Linked DNA regions of Drosophila melanogaster. The protein of the gene in region 1 interacts with the protein of each later gene in a pairwise test. Each region holds a gene or a part of one and is shown in the gene's direction. Other genes may lie near its edges.

What was found. The genes of interacting proteins can lie anywhere in the genome.
Region 2: the proteins of CG13159 (region 1) and CG15861 interact in a two-hybrid assay, tested with the Drosophila melanogaster proteins (one large-scale study listed by BioGRID).
Region 3: the proteins of CG13159 (region 1) and CG31999 interact in a two-hybrid assay, tested with the Drosophila melanogaster proteins (one large-scale study listed by BioGRID).

Annotation. Positions count from the first base shown.
Region 1 is NT_033778.4:12,371,405-12,378,119, forward strand, and holds CG13159 (uncharacterized protein), read left to right. Parts: upstream 1-3,881; 5' UTR 3,882-3,964; coding exon 3,965-4,195; 3' UTR 4,196-4,274; downstream 4,275-6,715. Other genes in the region: CG13160 (uncharacterized protein), read left to right, coding at 258-281, 359-872, 929-1,103, 1,160-1,244, 1,406-1,526, 1,592-1,746, 1,803-2,186, 2,244-2,424 and 4 more; Cpr49Aa (cuticular protein 49Aa), read left to right, coding at 5,294-5,305, 5,368-5,577, 5,685-5,897.
Region 2 is NT_033778.4:24,940,777-24,948,983, reverse strand, and holds CG15861 (uncharacterized protein), read left to right. Parts: upstream 1-3,782; 5' UTR 3,783-4,024; intron 4,025-4,129; 5' UTR 4,130-4,561; coding exon 4,562-4,965; intron 4,966-5,050; coding exon 5,051-5,161; intron 5,162-5,218; coding exon 5,219-5,321; 3' UTR 5,322-5,592; downstream 5,593-8,207. Other genes in the region: CG2790 (uncharacterized protein), read left to right, coding at 631-1,236, 1,298-2,314; CG3770 (uncharacterized protein), read right to left, coding at 2,459-2,601, 2,652-2,765, 2,821-3,223; Tina-1 (troponin C-akin-1), read left to right, coding at 6,720-6,734, 7,543-7,862, 7,930-8,098.
Region 3 is NC_004353.4:222,634-231,402, reverse strand, and holds the start of CG31999 (uncharacterized protein), read left to right. Parts: upstream 1-3,654; 5' UTR 3,655-3,727; intron 3,728-4,852; 5' UTR 4,853-5,568; coding exon 5,569-5,641; intron 5,642-6,963; coding exon 6,964-7,458; intron 7,459-7,516; coding exon 7,517-7,846; intron 7,847-8,390; coding exon 8,391-8,612; intron 8,613-8,666; coding exon 8,667-8,749; intron 8,750-8,769. Other genes in the region: yellow-h, read right to left, coding at 1,004-1,492, 1,832-2,498, 3,163-3,398.

The DNA of each region.
Region 1 (6,715 bases):
TTGCGAATTTATCGATGGCATAGACGAAAGTTGTGTTAGGTATGTACGCATACTGATACGAAAGCGTGAATAACACGCGCCATTACGCCATAAATATCGAATATCTTTATACTATGCTGAAGATATCAACCATATCGCACCATAAACCCGAGCCGAAACTTTAAATTGCGGATGGAGATGTCCGGCGAGTTAGTCGTGCTTCGGGAGTCGTGAAAGGTGCTCTTGCTTGGACGGTTCTCGAATCTCTTCAAAAAAAAATGGGAGCCACTAGGAATGGCAAGGTGTGTGATTTCATATTGATTTACCCATTTAGGATCATCCCAAAGAGATCAATTATAATATTCTCTACTTTCAACAGCAGTCCCTTTCGGGGTCTGAGAACCTAATAATCGAGGTGGATGAGGACAAGATCCGTTGCAAGCAGTATTCCTGGTACTTTGCCCCCATCTACCTCCTGTTCTGGGTGGGTCTCTTCTTCGCCGTCATATATCCACTTTTCCAGGCCTTGCCCACCGGAATCAAAATCTCCGAGGAGGCGGATAAACCGGGACAATTCGTGGCCGAGAGAGCTCAGGAAATACTGCTGCAAATAAGTCGATTGGGACCCCGTGTGGTGGGTGATGTTGATAATGAAGTCACAGTTGTGAATTTGCTGCTCGCTGAAATCGAAAAAGTGCGCCAGGTGCTGCGAGACGATGTCTATGAAATGGAGGTGGAGGTGCAACGGGCATCCGGATCCTACTTGATCAAAGGCCTAACGAATCACTATCAGGGTGTGCAGAATGTGATCGTTAGACTGAGTACGAAGAGCTCAAATAGCACCTCCTACCTTTTGGTCAATAGTCACTACGATACCAAGCCGGGTTCACCTGGTGAGTCTAATGATGGACTGCATTTCGGATAGGCCTTCAATAACTATTGTCCACAGGTGCCGGAGATGATGCTGCCATGGTTGTCGTAATGCTGGAGGTACTGCGTCTGGTCGCCGTTTCAGGGGATCCCTTCCTGCATCCGATTATATTCCTTTTCAATGGTGCCGAAGAGCAGCCAATGCAGGGATCACATGGTTTCATCACGCAGCACAGATGGGCTGCCAACTGCAAGTGAGTTTGAGTCTCAGGCGGAGATCACCGGAATCTCTAATCCGCTATCCAAACAGGGCTCTACTGAACTTGGATTCCGCTGGCGCTGGTGGACGTGATTTGCTCTTCCAGGGCGGTCCCAATCATCCCTGGCTGATGGAGGTAAGTTCCCCTGTTTGTGGAGCTAAAAACCCCCCGAAAGTCGGCAACGCCATTGGTGATTCATATATTTGGGAATGCTCTGATCGCATTTCCGATATGGGGGCTGCTATATCACCCGTCTGGCTGCTGATCAATTAATCTAATCTTCCGCCTTATCTTAGCATTACAGAAACAGTGCCCCGCACCCGTTCGCCACCACAACGGCCGAGGAGATGTTCGAGGCTGGTATCATACCATCGGATACTGATTTCCGGATCTTTCGGGACTTTGGAGTTGTGCCAGGTGGGAATCTCGGCGCAAGAAAATATCCTTTTCAACCACACTACTCAGGAGCTCTTCTCTTTCAGGCTTGGACATGGCCGGCGTGTACAATGGATTCGTTTATCACACGAAATTCGATCGCTACGCGGTGATAAGTCTCGATTCCCTGCAGAATTCCGGCGACAATTTACTGGCCTTGGTATGGAGTATTTCGAATGCCGAAGAAATGTACGACACAGAGGTGGGTTTCCTCTTTCGAGTGGCTTTTGTCCATTTTTCATGGTAATCTTTCAACAGGCACACGCGGCGGGACATGCAGTATTCTTCGACTTTATTGGACTGTTCTTTGTCCATTACCAGGAGTCGACTAGCTTGGCCCTGAATCTCTTCTTCTCGTTCGGTGCCATTTTGCTGGTCTGCATCTCGTTGTGGCGAATGTCCCGGGTTACTGGACAGACTATGGGCACCTATGCCGGCGTCTTTGGACTCCTATTCCTGCTAGCCCTAGCTGGTGCTCTCCTCGCCGTGGCCTTTCCTCTGCTGATGGCCACCTTTTATGATTGGGGAAATAGAACGTTGACCTATTTTAGCAACAGTTGGCTGGTCATTGGGTTGTACATTTGTCCATCGGTTATTGGCCTTGTACTGCCCATGACCCTCTACTTGACGCATACGAAGTGTGTAAGTAGTATCACTTGTTAACGAAGTTATTTTGTTATACTAAGCTATCCTCTGCAGAACAAGATCCCCCATACTTATTACTTGCATATTGTGGGTCACGCGAACTGTGTCCTTTTGGCCATCTTGTGTTTGGGTGCAACGGCTCTTAAATACCGTAGTGCCTATCTATTTCTGATCTCTCTCATTTTCTACGTTGCTGCTCTGATCATTAACCTACTGACCCGTCTCCATTGTCGCGGTAAGTTAGCTTATATATTCGTGGAGAACTTTTAATGATTCATGCCAACACTTTAGGTTATCTGTGGTCACTGGTGCTGATTGTTTTCCAGATTATACCCTTCATTTACCACGCCTACTTGTTCCACATGTTCATACTTATTCTCATTCCGATGACTGGTCGCTTTGGCGTCTCCACCAATCCGGATATACTAATCGGCGCTCTATGTGGTTTTGGCACAATTTTGGCGTTATCTTTTGCTGTAAGAAAGTTATTCACATTTATTGACTACTTTACTTAATCAGTTTCACTTAGGCTCCTTTAATCAATGTCTTTCGGCGACCGAACTGCATGCTGGGTGGTCTGGCACTGGTTATGTTTATTTTCTGCATGATTGCCGTCTCGGATGTCGGATTCCCGTATCGGCCCAAAACAAATGTCATGCGTGCCGACTTCATGGTAAGGGAAACACTAATAAGCATCCTTTGAAAGACGACTAAGTTCTATTCTTTGTCGGAGCAGCAAGTGCATCGCAAATTTTTCGAGTACAATGGTTCCATCAGCCACGAGGATTCTGGCTACTACTTCCATCTGGGGGATCGAAACAAAGAGGCACCTCTGCGCGATCACATGAACCTGACCAACCTGGTACGCCTGGGCGAGGATTGCGACTCCGAGCTGATGTGCGGTATTCCCTGCTACCGATATTGTAGTGCCCGGGAGCATGCACTTTGGCTTGCTCGAGAGGAGCCCGTGGAACTGCCTTATCCAACGGTCTTGGAGTTCCTTAGCAAGACAGTTCTGTCCGGTGGCTATCAGGTGCGCTATGAGTTCCGGCTAACTGGTCCGCCAAATATGGGTCTGTTCTTCAAGCCACTGGATGGTGTAAAACTACTCCGATGGACGTTTGCTCCCGCAATGCTGGATAATCCGGCCACTTACAGGCCTCCTCTGGAGGTCATGTTAACCTACGGTATTGATAACACTCCCATCGAATTCTTCGTGGAACTTTCTGTGCGTATTTAATGGGTCGTTCTGATAACTATACTAACTAACTGATTCTTAGAAGGACGATGGCAACTTCAATGAACCCGTCTTTGAGATGGGCGTCTCTGGACACTATGTCAGTCCACATGATAAGCGGGATGCGTTGAGCCTGGAGTTCCTTGCCACACTTCCGGACTTTGCCTTCTCGATGGAGTGGCCCAGTAGCTACGAACGGCATATATTCTAGGATAGTTAGCTAATAAGAATACCAAGTCATTGACACTCCCAACCCGAAAAACTTTTATTTTTCGGAAAATGGAAGGGGATCAAACATTGGATGCATTTCACAATGAGTTGGTCGGTAAACATTGGTGGGGGAAAGCTAGCAATGTAGCAAACGGTAAAGGAACCATTTGTGCAAACATTACAGGGAATACTACGACTGCCGCAGTCAAAATATGGGTATAAATAGTGAGGCCTGGACCAGCGAAAGACACACTCAGAGTTCAGCAGCTCGTCCGTCGATAAGCAACAGCCAGCCAGCAATCCTAAAAGCCCAAAAAATCCAATCAACATGAAGTTCTTCGCTGTCCTCGTCTGTTTCTCCGCTGTCCTGGCCATCGCAATGGCATCTACCGCAACTACAACCAGCACTCCCACAACGCCCTCTTCGCCCACGACGACGACGTACACCTATACTACCACCCCGACCTACCCCACCTACACCTACACCACGGACACCACCACCACTAAGCCAATCAAGCAACAGCTCCTGTCCCTGCTGTTCAACAAGAAGTCCGGATAGAGCCGCCCATCCGATCCACGATGCTGCCACTTGATACGATCCTCATCACCTGAATAGCCAAATAAAAACACCAAATACCAAAAAACAAACAAGCGCCGTCTCTTGCTCTCACACAATACCGCAATCGAAGTTAACCATCTCACGTAGCATTGGGCGGTGGGACATTTGGGGCTTTACTTCCACCTCCACCTCCATTTCTACTTCGGCGGTAACTGACATTTGCTCAACTGGCAACGGAACGCCCCGGCTCAGGCATTACCGCCTTTTGGCCGGACCTGTTCAAGAAACATCTGTTCGGCTGCCGCAAAGGTCAAGCGGCACTTGCCACATTCAGTTAGCTGGTGAGTAAGTCAGTTGGCCAGCCAGACATGATCATGGTCAGGTGGCAGTCATAATCCCGCCAATGATGATCATCAAGCCGTTGAGTCAAATGTCTAATGACTGCACTGACAAATTGATGTAGGAATGCAGCAGTCTGTCCCTATTCCTCTCACGCTGCCGAGGATGAGTTATGAATGTCAAGCTGGTCATGTTCAACACGATCCGAGATGATCATAGTGCCTCCAACGCCCCTCGCAATACAGGTGCACAGTGGGCGATGGCTAGCTAGGATAGTTTCTATTGCAGCAAGCAATTGAAGATGCAACTGTGCTGATGATAACTTCCAGCATAACAACTTAATGTTGTGAGATATTATACTAAACTATATTTTTCTTTGCTCTAATGATAAAGTAGAGTCCCCACTGTGGCTGTCATGTAGACAACTCATTCGACAAATTGCAGCATATCGGATGGGTCGTGCACTTGTAGGTGGATTCGATTCGATTCGGTCCGGTCCGGTTCGGTTCATTTGCGCTCCATGGGAGATGGTATTGGCCTCCGACAAGAGCCACCTAAAAGAGGCTTCCGATCGGCGGGTCTTCAAAATGCTAGGCGTTCACTCTTTAATCTCCAACTGCAATAGTGTCTGTGTGCAAAAGTTCAAGCGATTTGGTATAAATATGCAAAGAGTCGCCTCTGTTGACCACAGTAACGGATCGAGACGAACTCGGAGCAGACGACCAGGACCCAGGATCACAGGATACAGCTCGGTTCGACATGCAATACACAGTAAGATGGAAGAGATCAACTTGGGTATACTCCATGCTGATATCGCATCCGCGTGCTTTCAGCTGCTCTTCATAGCAGCCCTGCTGCTCAGCTTGGCCCAGGCCAGACCACAAGTGAGAGGCCAAGCGCCGGGAGAACCCATTCCAATTATCAGACAGGAGCAGGAGGTCAACTTCGACGGCTCCTACAAGTATCTGTACGAGACGGGCAACGGCATCAACGCCGAGGAGGAGGGCTACCTCAAGAATCCAGGCACCGATAATGCCGGCCAGGTGGGTGTAGGAGAACTCCATTCACAGTCGTGCCTGGCATTTGCCGGCTACCAGTTGGCCAAACGAAACGAGCACTAACTTGCATTTGCCCTTTTACCGCTCCAAAGGTCGCACAGGGCTCCTTCTCGTACACCTCACCCGAGGGCATTCCGATTCGGATAACCTATCTGGCGGACGAGAATGGCTTCCAGCCGCAGGGCGACCACCTGCCCACGCCGCCACCCATCCCGCCTGCAATCCAGAAGGCATTGGCCTACTTGGCCACCGCTCCGCCGCCGCCACAAGAGCAGCCCGGCGGGTTCAACAACCGACGTGGTTAGGTAATCACATCGACTTCTACAATCGAATTACCTGGTTCTACTCAATTACAAAACGTGTGCGAATGAACAATAAAACTGGCCATACAACAACAAATGCAGAGTGGATTTTCAATGATTAGCAAATGATTTAGCTGTGGAATTTAATACTGACTTTAGTAGACTTAATCAAGTGGCAGATATGCAATCAAACGATGACGTCTTGCGATCTAATGACTAATGATGTATTGATTTCCAATTTACTTTTGCGTTTGGATCGATTTCTTATGCGATTGTAAATATATTGGAAATAACCCGTATTCAGATAAGATTTAACTCACTTGGGTCCAATTCCTTGACCTTACCCTCGTGAATCAAAATATGTACTGAATATTCTGATTTTATGGGCTAGGCGCGTGTGGTCGGGAAAACCTTATTCATACTTGTTCTTTAATGAGGGGGATGGTAAAACAGCCTGATTTTTCTAGATAAGATTTGCAAAGACTTAAGTTCAACTGAACCTGAAGAAAGTAAACCAAATAAATGCGTTAGAATACATGCATAACTTTTCCATAGATTTTCATTTTCGATGTATAATATTGGCCAATCTAATCATGCTTGTGATTAATATTATATTAAATGGATATCATTAAACTCATAGTAGACTTAATCGATAATAATTTCATTAGCTAGTGCGGCACTCTATTCCAAATGGAAAGATCTTTATCCATTCAGTCAGCTTTAATGATCATTACAGGGCACGCAATATTATGTTGCCTAGTTTCAGGCATTTGGCATAAATGAAGTTGAAGCGGCTTGGAATTGTATTATCTTTTCAAGAA
Region 2 (8,207 bases), about 13 Mb from region 1:
GCACTTTGCTTGTATCGTTATGGGTGATTGGCAATAGTCGAGCTTCGATTCCAGTCGATTATTATTTAGTTTATGCAAATTATGTATAAATGCTTCGGAAACTAAGGGAAAAAAGCACCGTTACGTCCTGGGAAAAACTACAACTTCTGATGTGTTTAACTGCTGCTTTTCACAGGAACCTTTCCGATTTTATTTTTTTTCTCTGCCTGTGTATAGGTATGCGATGTGTGAGCTTCGGTGGTAGTGAGAAAAGCATGCGGCAGAATTTAGTCAACTAAGGATGCGCGGACACGGATGAAAAGAAACGTCCGTCGCCGTCGAAAGTAAAAAAGCTAATGACGGGATGCGCAGTTACGTATGACTGCTAGGAGATGCCACTTGCAGTTTAGCCACTTAACTGGGTAACTGTAATTTCAAGACCTTGTAAGAATAGGCTTCTATTGTTTTCCTAACGTTTTTTTCAGCTATTACAATAAACGCAAAACGCTCTCAGCCCAAAAGTAAGCTACTTTGCAAGATATTTACGTTCCCCTTCCAGCGCTTTGCAGCACTGACAACGCATCTGTGAGCGCCAGCTGTCTTTCCGCCCATCTGGCAACTCTATCAAAATTATTTGTTGTTCTAAGAAACATGCGTTGCTATTACGAGGAGCTCGAGCTCCAAAGAAACGCCAACGATGGGGACATCAAGAGTGCGTACCGTAAGATGGCCCTGCGCTGGCACCCGGACAAGAATCCCGACCGACTGGCGGAGGCCAAAGAGCGCTTCCAGCTGATCCAGCAAGCGTATGAAGTTCTGTCTGATCCTCAGGAACGGTCTTGGTACGACAACCATCGCGAGCAGATCTTGCGCGGCAAGAACTCCGATTATGCGGAGAACTGCCTGGACGTGTTCCAGTTCTTCACGAGCTCCTGTTACAAGGGCTATGGCGACAATGAGCACGGCTTTTACCGCGTGTACACCGATGTCTTCGTCCAAATCGCCTCGGAGGACTTAGAGTTCATGGACAAGGACGACCGGTTGGGGATGGCGCCTGACTTTGGTCATTCAAACAGTAGTTACGAAGATGTGGTGGGTCCGTTCTACGCCTTTTGGCAGGCATACAGTACCCGGAAGACCTACGACTGGCTGTGTCCCTACGATGTTCGCGAAATAAAAGAGCGCTTTATCCTACGCAAGGTGGAGAAGGAGATGAAAAAGATCGTTCAGGCTGCCCGCAAGGAACGCAACGAAGAGGTGGGCGATGAATTCCCTTTTTTTTCTTCCGAGACACATTTTACTTACCTCATTTACTTAGGTTCGCAACTTAGTCAACTTTGTGCGAAAAAGGGATCCCAGAGTGCAGGCCTACAGGCGCATGCTTGAGGAACGCGTCGAGGCCAATCGACTTAAGCAGGAGGAGAAGCGCAAAGAGCAGTTAAGGAAGCGCCAGGAAGAACTGGCAGCCGTCAGGAAAAATAATGTCTTTAACGAGGGCTACGAGGAGCAGCTAAAGCAGTTAGAGCAGCAGTACGATAGCAAGTCAGAAGATTACACGGATGAAGACGAGAACGACGACGATGGCGAGGACTTTGACCATGAAGGCGGCCAGGAAGCCGAGGAGTACGAAGTGGAGTATGTAGACGATCTTTACTGCGTGGCATGCAACAAGACATTTAAAAACGCCAAGGCGCGTGCTAATCACGAAGAAAGCAAGAAGCATAATGAAAATGTCGACCGGCTGTGTCAGGAAATGGAGGAAGAAGAGGACGCTTTCCACAATGAACCCCATGAAGACAGTTTAATGGGCGTACAGGAATCGCTGGAAGAATTGCAAGTCTCTGAGGATCAGATATCTTTCGACGGGGTTCCAAGCGAAGAAGAATCTTCGCTAGCCAAACGAACCAAAAAAAACAAAAAGGCAAGGAAGTCAGCTGTCAAGCAAGCGCAGGCGGAAGGCAGTGACGAACCAGATGAGCCAATAGAAAAGAAGGCAATCAAGAGCGAGTCAGAGGATGAAGACTGGAGTAAAGGCAAAAAAGCGAGCAAAAAGAGTAAAAGCAAAAAGACGACGACTAGGAAGGTTAAGCTATTAGAGCAAACTGTTTCGGAACCGAATACAAAGGAGGCAACAGTGGCTCCCAAAAGCGGAGATGAGGACCTCGACCCGACCAAGTCGCAACACACTTGTGTTACCTGTAGGCTTGTCTTTGACTCCAAGAACAAGCTGTTTGCCCACCTAAAGAAGACGAACCATGGTGTCTACATACCTAAGGCAAAGCCTAATGTTGAGGGCAAGCCTCCTGGCAAAGCTAAGGGCAAGCGCAACAAGTAGGGTCGTATAGATATCCACCCACACCTTGTATCTATACTGTAGAATGTTAAAAGTTTATTTATGCTAATGATAAATTTAATTCGAGAATGAAGTTAAGTATGCTCGCTCCAAGTCAGATAGTGTTCTTATTGTATTCAAAGGCAGCTACGGAATACAGACCAGTTTACTGCCCGCCTCCACGCGTCTGCGAACTCGAGTTCGCATATTGGAAGACTCTGCCTTTAGGCTTATACCGGCGGCAGTAAATGTTAGGAGTACCCCAATGATTCCGCAGTAGAATGAAACTCCTGTAAGGATTAAGTTTAGTAAGTTTCTAAGAAAAGTTTCAAAGAATTACCTATGCTACAGTCGGCGGGGTAAAAGGGTTCGGCATCCATGCCGCATAGACGTTGAATCCGGTTCGCTCGCCATCCCATCGGATGCAGAAATAGACCCAACATCATACATATTCCTATAAACAATGCAAACTTAAATGCTGCGAGGATATCACAGTAATGGTTGCTTACCTGCTACGACCTGGGCGCAGGCCGTCATGTTGTGTATGCTCTTGCCACAGGCCGACTGGCGGCAGCAGGTGATCAGGGTCAGGATCACCGTTACAGAGAGTAGACTAAATCCCAGCATGACGAAGAACATTGCCGCTTTCCATTCGTTGGGGTAAACGCTACTGTCCGTGGCCAGTCCGTCCAAGTCGAAGCGGCCGCATTGGAATCCGCCCTCCTGCATGACCTTGCAGCGCGTGTAGATGCCCACCGAGGATTGGTGGTGAGAGCTGGCGGTGGAGTCTGTTCCTTGGGCGGGGCCCACCAGCCACCTGGGCGTGACCAGGGCCACAGCAAAGAGCATGTCGGCCACCAGCGAACAGAGGAACCACACCAGACTGGCGATGGTGATAATAACGTAGCACATTTTGATGCACCAGATTTTTCGGAGTACACAGATTTAGCGATCGACGACGGGCGATCGCAACGCGTCAGCACTTGCCGGATAGATAATAGACTCTAAGCGCTCTTACTTTGTCTGGGCACGCACATCCCACACCCACTTTGCCGTCACCCACCACCACCGTCGCACCACTCGCCACCACCAGCAGCGCGGGGCCAGACCAGAACTTCCTCCCAGCTGACCAGCCCGAAATGGAATTGTTTATTTTATGTTTTCGCCGCTCGCTGTTATGCGGTGCCTTTCTGCCGTCTGTTTTATGTTATTCACCCCACACTCACACGCGAGCGGAGGTTGACTGTGGGATAGGGGGAGCACGAGGGCGAGGGCGAGGCGGTAGACCGCGCAGTCCGCGGCTCTGTCAAGAACAAAATTCGCAGCTGACGTCGAAGCGAAGGGAAATAGAGTCTAGCGGGAAAATAACTCTGCCTCGATGGCGTTTTCGCTAATCCCCCAAGCGGCTGCAGCTATTTGGCAACTTTATTCCACACTCTGGAACTTTGGATCTGAGCTTCTGTTCGCGCAGGCGTGTCTGCTGCCGTTCCTCGCCAGCGTCATCTCTCGCCGACTCCGACCGACCGAATGAATGGAGCCCATTAAAGCCAGCTGCAGTCGCAAACGGAGCCAGGCCCCAATCGGAGCACTGGAAGAAAAGGTTTGGTGCATCAAATCGTAATAATCGAGTTCTAAGTTGGTTTATGCGTTACGTATTTATCGTATAAATTTAAATCAGCCGGAAGAATTTAAGAAACTGAATGACTATGTTTGGTAAGAATGTTTACTTAGAGGAAATAATTAATATAAAATATTGTAATTTAATGAGGAATTTTTTTCGAATGTATTTTGTATATTTTTAAATGTTGATGTTTTCAGTGCCTTATGCAGATGTGGGCGCCGATTTCTCATTGAGAGCGTGGAAATCCAGACATTCCGAATTCAGAATCAGTCCTCGAATAGCTCTCCCTGGCTCTCTGCACACGCGTTCGAGTTGGATCCAATCTGTCGACTCCACCACCACCAACCCCACCATTGCCTCCACCCCCGTTCGGGTGAGTAATGCACGCCGCCGCTTCGATTCGGGCTGATCATGTGCAATTCCGATCGAAACGATCTTCGGTCGAGCGGTTATCAGTTGGCCGAGTGTGTTGGGGGCCATTGCGTCATCCGCACTGTGTTTGTGCACAGTGATCGTGACCGAGGCCGTAATGAGATCCGTACACAAAGTGCGCAGCCTCCGGAAAGCACTTTCACTCTCCCTTTCGTTGCCTGAACCAATCCGCGGCTCATCACTTGCCATTAGCCGAGATGTCGCGCCGGATGGTCTTCCTACAGTTGCTGCTGTGGGCAGTAGTAGAGGGTCACTATTACTACGACTACGGCTACTGGGAGATCAACGAGCCTTCACAGCTTTGCTCCGACTACGAAATGCTGGTGGTCAACACCCGCCAGTGCGTAAGGCGCTGCAACATCGTCTGCCTGAATGGAGTGTGCTTCGAGGACGGATCCTGTCCCTGTGCCGATCAGTATATGGCGGGTAATCCGGATGGTTTGGTGTGTGCCGCAGAGTGCCTCCCCGGGTGCGTGGCGGCAGGTGGCTACTGCGCCGCACCAGATCTCTGTGTGTGCCGTGAGGACAGGCACTACTACTTTGATCCCCTCTCCCAAAAGTGCCGCCACAGGGCTCCCCGTCTGCTGGACCCCTGCCTTGGGTGAGTATGATTCTTGCTCCTCACCTTATCGCTTAGGAAGTGTACATACATACGTATGCGTTTATGTGCCCTTTCTCATTTCCAGGCGCTGCACACATGGCAACTGCTCCTCCGACGGACGGTGCATCTGTGCCCAGGGATACGAGCTAAGGGACAGCCTGCTTCATGGACAGCAATGCATGCCAATCTGTGATCAGTAAGTTTGATTGTCGCTATATCTTTTCGCCACACTTGCCCTAAACTGTACCTCCAGCAACTGCGGACCACGAGCTTACTGCTTCGCTCCTAACTTGTGTGCCTGCCGGCACAAACAGCACCATTATGCTCACAACGGCATCTGCTCCGGGAACTATTGACCTAGAGAGGAGGTTTGACAGCAATGGGGCTGTTTTAGGTCCCGCTGATGTCGTATGGATTTTAATATATGTATTTATTGTTTAGGTTCATGATTATTTATGAATTAAGCTACAAGACTATGTTACTCTTTTTATTGATTTAAAATTTTTATGGAAAGGCAATCTTGTCTTTAGAAACTGTAAGGAATAACATAAAATATAAAAACAGCTTTAATCGCCTCATAAAGTAACCTATAATTTGTCCATATTAAAATACCAACTTCAAAAACGCATTATGCATATGTATTATATCGATTTATCTAACCTGAGGAAATATGAGAAGCACTAACTTTATTGAGTGCTTACCCTTTCATAATGAATGGGCAACAATATACAATATGTAGTTACGCTTGATAGTTCGTATTGAGTCCGAAAACTAAAATGCCTTACCTTTCGCAGGGCACAATTCAGAGAGCGCAGTGAGATTTTGATTTTAAAGAGCGCATGTCAACTGGTTTGGTTTTGGTGTTGTTGTTGCCGCACCCCCTCCCCCACCTATCAACCAATCAATTACAAAGAGACTTTGTTATTGTTTATAACAAATCGGACACATGGAAGTGCAGAATATTACAATATACAGTATACGATTTCCGATCCCCACCGATCAGCAGAGAAACTGAAGAAGACATGCGTACGTGTTCTCCAGAGGCGTCGCCAGCGAACTAAAATGCTGCTAGGGGGGGGTATCATAGAGGGAGCGTGGATCTCAAGAGGGACTTCTGTGCTCAGATGTTATTAGGCCATTGATAATGCCCGAATTTTAGAGTGTTTGTGCTTGCGGGGCCTATAATATTTCGGGTATTTCAACTAACCCACACCCCCCCCCAGAGGATATTTCTTAGATAAAGACCAGTCGGCAGAACCGTCATTTTTAGCTTTGCGCGTGTGGCGTGTTATTGTTTTACTTGTTGTTGTTCCACTAGAGGCGGGCCTCTTGGTCTTGACGACAAGGCACACTGGGCAGAGTCAGTAAACAGGGCAAATAATATTTTCTTCCTTTTTCCAATTTTGATGAAATTGGATATATACCATAATTATTATTTAAGAATTGCTTTTCCACGTAGTGTCGACTAATACTTTCATATGCAATATATTTATATAAGTTGAACCAATAACACGTTGTGACTTTGCTCCACTGTGCCAGAAGCAATAACAACAACAACAGTGGCAGGCGGCAGCACCGTGTCCGCCGACGTTGTTCTCCATCACGATTTAGTTGGAGTTTTGCTGGCCATCGGCGCGGTTGTATCTCTGCTGGAGCTCGTGCACACTATCCTATCCAATCCCGAAGAGCTCTCTCGCCTTTGCTTAGTGCAGCAATTTGCAATTTTAATTATCTGCAGGCGGTTCGACAAGAAAATGGGCCAAGCAAAGGTAAGCTGATTAAGAGTGCAGCACAATGTGAAGCCCACGCACACATGCACACTTTTAGCTTGTGTATACGCATCCCTTATCCTTCGTCCTTGGCAAGTGGGCAGCCCCAAATGGAAAGCGTGTAAAAGCCTGAGAGCTTGGGAACTAAATTTAAGGCATTTTAAGTTATCCGATCCATCGGAGGGTTATCAGATAGTTTATTGGAATTTTTAAGATATCTACATATGTATGAGTGTGAGCTGATGCCTGTTCTGGGTTATGTAAGCGGATTCGCCAAGATGCTTTGATGCAACCGTTTGATGACATTGATTTAAGGCCGCTTGCGTGTGTTATCCATTTACTGCAATGATTAAACCGATTTAAGCAATTATTAATGTGCCAATTACATGTGTACAGATAGCGAGTGTCTCCATACATATGTACCTGTGGAGGCGTAACTGCTGCGCAGTTTGTGAGGCACGCACTCAGCCCCAAAAATACGAAACAGCTACGTACATATATTAGCAACAATAACAGACTTTAAGAATAAACGTGTGAATGCACGAAACCGGTTGAGCCATCCCATTCTCGCCCAAAAAGCGGTTCAGCTGAGAATCTCGCCAAACACCGAGACGTTTCGTGAACCTTATCAATAACTTGCGGGGGCTAGCCAGTGGAAAGTGTTCGGATCCCTGATCCCTGATAAGCCACGGCGATCGATTGATACCAGTAGAGCAAACTCTCACAAGATACCACCAGTTTATCAGATCTCTAACCTAACCCTACTTATCTGTCTTTACGCCACACCCACCTCTCACGCACTCCACAGAAAGTCTCCTCCGCCTTGAGCAAGCTCTTCGTGTACGGCGCCCTCAAGTACGGACAGCCCAGCAACTCAATCCTGGCCAGCTCTGGCAACGGCTTCGCTAAGTTCTGGTGCAAGGCGACCACCACCCAAAAGCTGCCGCTAGTGATCGCCACCCGCTACAACATTCCCTTCCTGCTGAACAAGCCCGGAGTGGGATATTACGTAACAGGGGAGATCTACGAGGTGGACGATCGAATGCTGAATTCCCTGGACAACCTGGAGGATTGCGAGGAGATCTACACTCGCGAGATGCACGATATGAACATTGGCGTTGGAGAAGGGTGAGCATTAGTCGGATCTGACGTCATTTCAGCAATGTGGTGTGATGGGTCACAATTTCCTTTCCAGAACCGTTCCATGCTGGGTGTACCTGCTGCAGAAGTACCCGGAGAACCTACTTAGTCTGCGCTACTTGTCCAGCTACGAGAACTCAACCACCCATCCATACATTATGCGCCATCGCCGCACCCACAAGCATCCGGCCCAGGACGACCTCACCTACGAGGCCCAGAACTAATAACGTGGGTTGTGGTGTCGCCCGTTTGTTTGGATGTTCTCTGGATAGCCTGGCCACTAATCTTATGTTACCGTAGTTGCATTTTAAGACCGTACTTGCAGACGCAGAT
Region 3 (8,769 bases), on another chromosome or scaffold:
CGGCTCGTTCGCATACAGCAATTTGGGAAATGTGTATTTAAAAGTCACACACAAATACATTTATTTTCACAAATACAAAAATATTTTCTCGTAAATTTATACGTATGTATACAGCATCTTTGTTCGGCAAACAAGCGCATCGATGAGAGCCCCTTTTATTGGAACGGAGTACTTTATTTACTATTTTTATAGTTATAAGTCGCAGTGTCTTATATGCACTTACATACATACCTTGTTTTTAAAACTTAAATTTACGAATGAGTAAAGTGCGAACCATCTTTAAGTTAACATCGCCCAAATTTGATTATATTCAAAGTAATATCTCGAGAAAATACTGTAACATGAATATACATATATCCATTGATGTTCGATATTTCTTTATAGATAGTAATATTCTCTTTTAGAGATGTTATATTAAGTACACCCAAAATCAAACCACTTTCAGAGGAAACTAATGACGATAACACGAACTTGAAGATACAATAGAAGAAAGAACACGCTCCCTACCTGTTACTTCTTACAATTGGATATAACCTTTCACAGTACGACTAAAAAATATAAATATATTACAAACAATTGTATACACGTTTGAATTTGAACCCTAATATTCATTCGTTGAAAACTAGAATGGCGGAGGGAAGAACTGCTGACCCATAAAGAATATACTTCGAATATTCGAGCAGAATCGCAAGCCAAGTTGATCTAGCAATGTACGTCCATTTTAATTTCGTGATCTTTAAAATTTTAAAAGCTAGAAAGCTAATTTTAGATACGTATGTTCTTAAAAGTCCGATCTTATGCCAATTTGGAACTCGTACACGTTTAAAAACTGTTATTCTTTTAGTCAATTTAGTTAATTGCTTGGACACAACAAAGCGCAAAAATCTGTTAGACCCAAACCTTCAAAAAAGGTACTAGAGTATCATTTGTAACGGACGCAAATACCAAGGTTGTTCAAAAATTTACAACATTTTGTTGTGTAATTGTTTATTTACCATAGTTTTCAAAAACACTGTCCTTCTTCTATCAACACAAAAGCTGACTTTGATGTATTAATATAACTATTATCCGGATTGCAAACACTATTGCGAATAATCTTATTTACATTCGCCTTTAAAATTCGAAAATTTACTTCTCCATAATCTAGATTGCTGTATAGAAAAATTGGTAGTCGGTTACTTATAAGCCATACATTTTGATCTTTTTCTTTGTCTACTTTTAAATCATTTGGAAATTGAATAAGATTTGAGTTTTCCATATTATGAAATTTTCCCAAATGTGCTCGAGTGTATGGTTTCGATGTATCCCAGCATCCAATATCATCTTGATGAACTTGTGTAAAAAACATAATGCCATTCCTTGTAACTCCTGATGTAGATGATTGAGAATTATATCCGCGGTCTCCAATTGGTATGAAGTACTTGGCGTACTCTTGAGTATTCGTTTGCCACACAGATTCGTTTAACAAGATATTCATAGGCACCATGAACTCCTAAATGAGAAAGTATTATAATCACAATTATTATTATTATTATATCAGTTACTCGTAGAGTATAAGGGATTGCTAGTTTGGTTAATAAAAATAAAACAGAAATAAGCCTTTTCGGACCCTACAAGCTGCAGATAATTAGCTTACTTAAGATTTAGATTTATTTAAGTACCTTAAGTAAGACTGATCAAGTAGTAAGCTGTAGGAGGGGTTTTTAAAAGTAAGTCGGCGAGCCATTATTTAGACAATAAAGACAATGTTAAGAAAGGCATTTTTTAAAATCAATATCAAATCAATTCCCAGCCATTTTCTTGTCTTTATTTATATACTCCTTATACTCACCTTGAAACTTGCCATTGGATGAAAATAAAGAACGCGTTCCATTATTTTCTTATTGTAATATATACTCATTCCAAAAACACCATCCAGCCATTGAAAATTTAATCCGTATACATTAAAATCCGAAGCAAAGGGATCCGGATAAAAGTTATAGTTGGTCACGCGCCAGCTGCGGTTTTTTGATAGGCTGTAAACAAGTAGACCAAATCTCCATACATCCGATACGATAGCATGCGCATCATCGCAATCTTCTCCAATATCCACAACAATATTGGAGTGCAACGAATCTTGCTTCACATGAGAAGCTTCCAAATTGTATCGAACAATCAGTTCGTCACTTTTAAGATCATACACAACAATTTTTGGTGGGCAGATCTGATTTAAGTTTATTGTAGCATTGACAATTCCAGAATCAATTAGCCAAATTCGATCACACCTATCTACAGCTGTTCGATAAACTGACATCAGTTTTGAGCAGTCAGGATTGTTTGGATTTCCATGAGCCTCCCAGTTTGGATACGGCTTTATTGCCGGGCTTGACTCTTTTGGAGGAAAGGGCAGTGTACCTAAGCTAGCAGGCACACCATTCTTCCAACGAGGAGTTGTCACAAACAGGCGGTTATTATGGACATCAATGCCTAAAGGTAAATTATTTTTTGGTACAAAGTCTCTGTAAATATTAATATATTATAATAATTAGACAGTAAATTCAGCGCAGTAGAATAACACATAAAGCCAGATTATGATAATCCTTTATGTAACAGTCTGTAACAGCCAGAAGGAAGCGTTTCTGACCATGTTCTATATGGTCATATACAATATTCTTTATAAGGATCAATAGCCAAGTCGAACTGGCCATGTACGTCGATCTTTATTTGCATTTGCATTTTCCCTAGCTGTGTAACGGGATTCTGATAGTCGGGGATCTCGACTATAGCATTAGAGATAATGCTAGGATTTATTCATCAATATTAAAGATATGGATGAGACGCACTGAATGATTCGAATGAAAAGAAAGTATTTATAAGAACTAGTCTCCTATAGTTTTCGAGATAAGATATTAATTTGTTAATTTTTTTTCGCATTCGCAGTTCCACGAGCTGATTAACGGATATCTGATAGTCGGGGATCTCGACTATTTGTGACATAAGAGCGTCAAATAGTTTATTTTTCGAATTTTCTTTTATACCTCTCACAATACAAGCATTTTAAATTTATTAAAGGCGTATTTTTTGATTTTTTTACTAGTACTACAATTTGTTATTAATATTAATACATTTTTCAAATTATCTCTTGATTTGTAAGAAACTGTTATAACCAAATTGTTTTGTTACCCATTTAAAATAGATTGTTGGCGTTGCACAAAAGTTGAGTATAGGAAATCCAAATATTTCCATTCATAAACGATCTCCAGTTGACTTTCACTCTGTAAGTTTTGCGAAAACGACTGCGAAGTATATTCATAGCCATCAAGTGTTTGGAAAACTGGTTGAACACTTAAGTTTCCATTTAAAGTCTTCGATAAAAAAACTAACTGTGTAATTATATTAAAGATAGTCATAGACTGCATCCTAGCTGAATATTAAATAAATAATTCTCAAAAATGTACTCTATGGAATCAATCGACCAGATCTACCAACGTTTAAAGACTGATTTAATGTATGTATGTTTAAAATATCTTTTACATGCTTGTTGATGCAGATCAGAGCTTTTTTGTAAGGTATTGTGACAACGCTTAAGCTTTGTTTTAAAGCTTTTTCAACTATGTAGGTATGTATCTATCTATGTGTTGTCTTGATCTCCACCAGCCGAAATTGTTTGAATTTGTTCTTTTGTTTCGCATTTCATTCAAACGTGTAGCCTTAATTTCACTATCGGACCTGTCCCAAATTTTAATCGGTATTGAGTTTTACGAGTTTTTTCTAAACTAACCATGAGCAATATAATCCTCAGTATTAACAAAAATTTTAACTTTCATCAATTTTTTCAAATGGTTTTGATTGATCAAGAAAATTTGTATTATATTCAATATCTCAATCTATTTGCTGGCAAAAACAGCTATTATTTCAATTCCATCAAATGATTTATATAAATAAGTTTTAAAAAAATAAATAAATATTGTTTTAAAGAGTGTTGAATGAATTCAAATGTTGACATCAGATCCTTGCATGTAGATTGTTCGATCGTCACTTTTTTTCACATCTTTAAGAGTTGGTTTGGTTTGATGGGTAATAGGGGTAAATAGTCTGCGCCAAAAAAAAGTATATATATTTGTATGTATATATATTTACATATAAGCCACCATTTCCGACCCTATAAGTAAACACTTACATATATATGTATGTTGTTGATCTAGATTGCTAGCCGATTTTAAGCTCTTTGCCCCCGTCGGTCATCGTTTATCTGTGTATAGTTATTATAAAACGTAGGTATGTATGTATAATAAAATATAAAATATAATAAAAAATTCAAATTTTAAAGAGCGGACAAAACGACGGTCACAGTTAAGCAGGTATGGTTGTACCAAAGACACTAGAATAGTGTCTAGACACTAAAATAGTGTCTTTGGTTTTACCGAGATATACATACAGTTTGTCAAGAAACTGTTTGCACACTGTGAAATAAGTTGAATTTTTGGCTTTAATGGTAAAAATTAAGAGTTATTTGCTTAATTAAACGGAATTTTTTTATGAAATTTAATTAAACAATATTTATTATACTAATAAATCAAAAAACAAATTAAAATATTAAATATACAAGTCAAGAAACTCTACACATTTTGTTTTCGTACTTTGTCTTGTTTTTTTTCTTAGAACTAACTCGATTTTTCCGTGGTTTTTGGTTGGTTTGGTTTTTCCGTGGTTGGTTTTTGTATTGCATTTTTACGCTTCTATTGAAATTTTTTGACTTTGCTTGTGAAATTTTGCTGATCGAACGTGCTTAAAGTAAATTATTAAATTTGATAAAATGCCTGGAAAGAGATTAATTGTTTAAGTTACCCAATTAATAAACTATAACCACCAGTTGGGAAAATCTATTCCAGAATTAGTAGAAATGTTTTCTGTATCCCGTACGACCGTCTACAATGTTTTAAATCGCACGGAAAAAGAGGAGAGGCTTGAACCTAAGAGTCGGTTGGCGCACAACCAAAATTATCAAGCGCGTAGACCGCATTATTATACGAATAGTGATTGCGAACCCCCGAATCTCGGTCAGAGCACTTGCTCAGGATGCCAGAGAAGAATGTGACCAAATTGAATGAACATATGTATGTATGTATATTGATCATATCTTAAACGTTTTCTGCTACCTTTACCTAGTTTCAATAATTCACATTGCTCCAATTCACAAAACCTGGGATTAGCAAATAAAAGTGTGTTTAATAAGAAAATATAACAGCAGGTCGTCGAACAATAAACATATTTATGTACGTAAATACATGTAACGTATAGCGTAGGCTTATATACATACATATGTACATACATATGTCAACAGCTTGCTTTGGCCCACACGCGTTTCAGTCTTAAATCCTCTTCGTTCTAAAATTATATATTTGCTATACATACATACAAGCATATACAAACATGCATGTGTGCGCTGCTAAGTGACTGAGATAATTCCAGATAGCGTATGCACATGAGCGTTCTTTATTTTCTCATTCATTGCCTGACCTGTTCATTTAAAGCTCCCATCTTTATATTAATTTTATTTTTTACCCGGATTTGATTTCTGAACCCGTTATGTTTTATAAACTATGTGCTTTTATGTGTTTCTTGATAGTTGGAGGGCATGTCACCACCACAATGGCCAGTGGTAAGTAATGTGTAGTATACTTGCTTATATGTCAATAGATATGAATATTTATATATGTACCTGCCTACTGAAACCGCCCATTGTATATTTTGGGCAAATCTTTAAAATTGTATTAGGTTAGTTATAAAGTTATTAAGTTATAAAGTTATAAAGTTATAAAGTTATTAAGTTATTAAGTTATTAAGTTATTAAGTTATTAAGTTATTAAGTTATTAAGTTATTAAGTTATTAAGTTATTAAGTTATTAAGTTATTAAGTTATTAAGTTATTAAGTTATTAAGTTATTAAGTTATTAAGTTATTAAGTTATTAAGTTATTAAGTTATTAAGTTATTAAGTTATTAAGTTATTAAGTTATTAAGTTATTAAGTTATTAAGTTATTAAGTTATTAAGTTATTAAGTTATTAAGTTATTAAGTTATTAAGTTATTAAGTTATTAAGTTATTAAGTTATTAAGTTATTAAGTTATTAAGTTATTAAGTTATTAAGTTATTAAGTTATTAAGTTATTAAGTTATTAAGTTATTAAGTTATTAAGTTATAAAGTTATAAAGTTATAAAGTTATAAAGTTATAAAGTTATTAAGTTATAAAGTTATTAAGTTATTAAGTTATTAAGTTATTAAGTTATTAAGTTATAAAGTTATAAAGTTATAAAGTTATAAAGTTATAAAGTTATTAAGTTATTAAGTTATTAAGTTATTAAGTTATTAAGTTATTAAGTTATTAAGTTATTAAGTTATTAAGTTATTAAGTTATTAAGTTATTAAGTTATTAAGTTATTAAGTTATTAAGTTATTAAGTTATTAAGTTATTAAGTTATTAAGTTATTAAGTTATTAAGTTATTAAGTTATTAAGTTATTAAGTTATTAAGTTATTAAGTTATTAAGTTATTAAGTTATTAAGTTATTAAGTTATTAAGTTATTAAGTTATTAAGTTATTAAGTTGTTAAGTTATTAAGTTATTAAGTTATTAAGTTATTAAGTTATTAAGTTATTAAGTTATTAAGTTATTAAGTTATTAAGTTATTAAGTTATTAAGTTATTAAGTTATTAAGTTATTAAGTTATTAAGTTATTAAGTTATTATGTTATAAGGCTTTAAAATTATTACCACACTAAGGTATTTAGATTTCGGATATGAAATTGATAAATGACGAAAAAGAATGCTAGCCTCGGGCAAGGGACATCACCATATGGACTCATGTGTTGATACTGACTAAGAATACTTATAGAGTTGAAACCTTTTGATTTTTACCAATATATACTCTGGCTTAAAATATCCTGTGATCAAGCGAAAGTGAAAGTTTTATTTTGTTTTAAGACAGCATATCGGGTTATATACGAAAATGCTGTATAAATGGACTTCGACATGCTCGTACGACCGCCTCTTGCAAAAAAATCGACATAGCCCCAACAATAATCCCGCAGCTCTGGCTTGGACTTTGTCATTCTACACTTGAAGTCTGCTGTTCTCGAGAACTGGACCATCAAGATTGCGAGCTAGGTCGACTGGCTGCTTTAGACGGTACTCGCTGTGACGGAGAAGGAAATGTAACATCTAGCTCCTATGCGACATGTTGTCGTTCTTGTCAAATCGGATTAGCAGTTAAAGCGAGTAAAGCCAATTGCAAAGATCCATTATTTTCATTTATTTTCTTAATTGAATCATACCGAGCGTGCTGTTACGGATCTGCTGACTTTAAAGACCAGCCCGGTATCGACGAAATCGATAAGGCTAATTCTATTACTGATGAAGGTGAATTGCCGTTTGTTTCTGAAGAGGATATGAATGTAACTATTGTTCTTACCGGCGATGGTAAGTATATCTTATTTGTGTATCATTTGAAATCATAATTAATTGTACTCATTGGTAGATGACATATGTGGAAAAATTGAAAACCTTTGCGCTCACATATGCGAAAACACTTTCGACGCATACCAATGTAAGTGCCACCCCGGGTTTATGTTAGATAATAACAACGTAACATGCTCTCCGATGAAAACCCAAATATGTCCCAGCGGTTACAATTTAGATAAACTGGATAACAAATGCATTGACATTGATGAATGCCGGGAAGATCTTCATGACTGCAAATCATCCCAATATTGCCATAATACGAATGGCGGATACCACTGCTTAAATGTGAAAGAAAAAGAGTGTCCACCAGGATTTCATTATGACCATGATTACGATGCATGTAAAGGTAATTTTAAAAACTGTTTGAAATACAGATAAAACTAGATAGTCTAGACTAAACTGGACTATCAGTTTTACTCTGCTAGGATGGGTAATGGGATATTTTAAAATTAAAATTTATACAATAAACACATTCCATCCACAAATGTGCTGCCAATTTGGGCAGCTTTCGGCCGTGGGCGTGGCTTAAACTTTTTTGGCATATGTATTTAAAAGACTAACAATTAAATAACAAAAATGACAACGTTTCCTAAAAGTGTCGGGTGTTCCAGTTTTGGCGGTTTGCGGGCGTGAAATAAAGAGCACACCCCTGTAACATATTTTTCAATATGTCGTGTATGCCCTTTATCTCTGCGAGTACAGGTATAAGCTATGAATCGGTTCGGATATCTGAAAGTTTAAAAAACTTATATATAGCATTTTTAAATTGTATTATTTTAGTTTTTAATCAGTCTTAATCCGGTATCTGAAAATTAAAAATCCGATCTATAGCATTCCTTTAATCTTATTATTTTAGCTTTTTTAATTTGAAGTGCGTTCTATTCACTTAGATGATTACAAATGCAAAGATCGTAAATGCGTTAAAATTCAATCTTGTGATAAAGGATTCAGCTTGCATAACGGTACCTGTTCCGATATTGACGAGTGCTCACATAAATCATTAAACAACTGTCATGTCAATAGTAATCAGGAATGTGTTAACACAGTGGGAAGTTATTCCTGCAATTGCCTGCCTGGATTTAATTTGGATGCTACACTAAATAAGTGTGTTGGTAAGTACGTTTTTTCAGTAAAATAAGGATTGTTATTTATTTTGACTTCCATAGATATAAATGAATGTTCAATAAATAATCACAACTGCCTTCCAACTCAGAGATGTGATAACACGATCGGATCATATATATGCACGGTATATTAATCTGTATACAA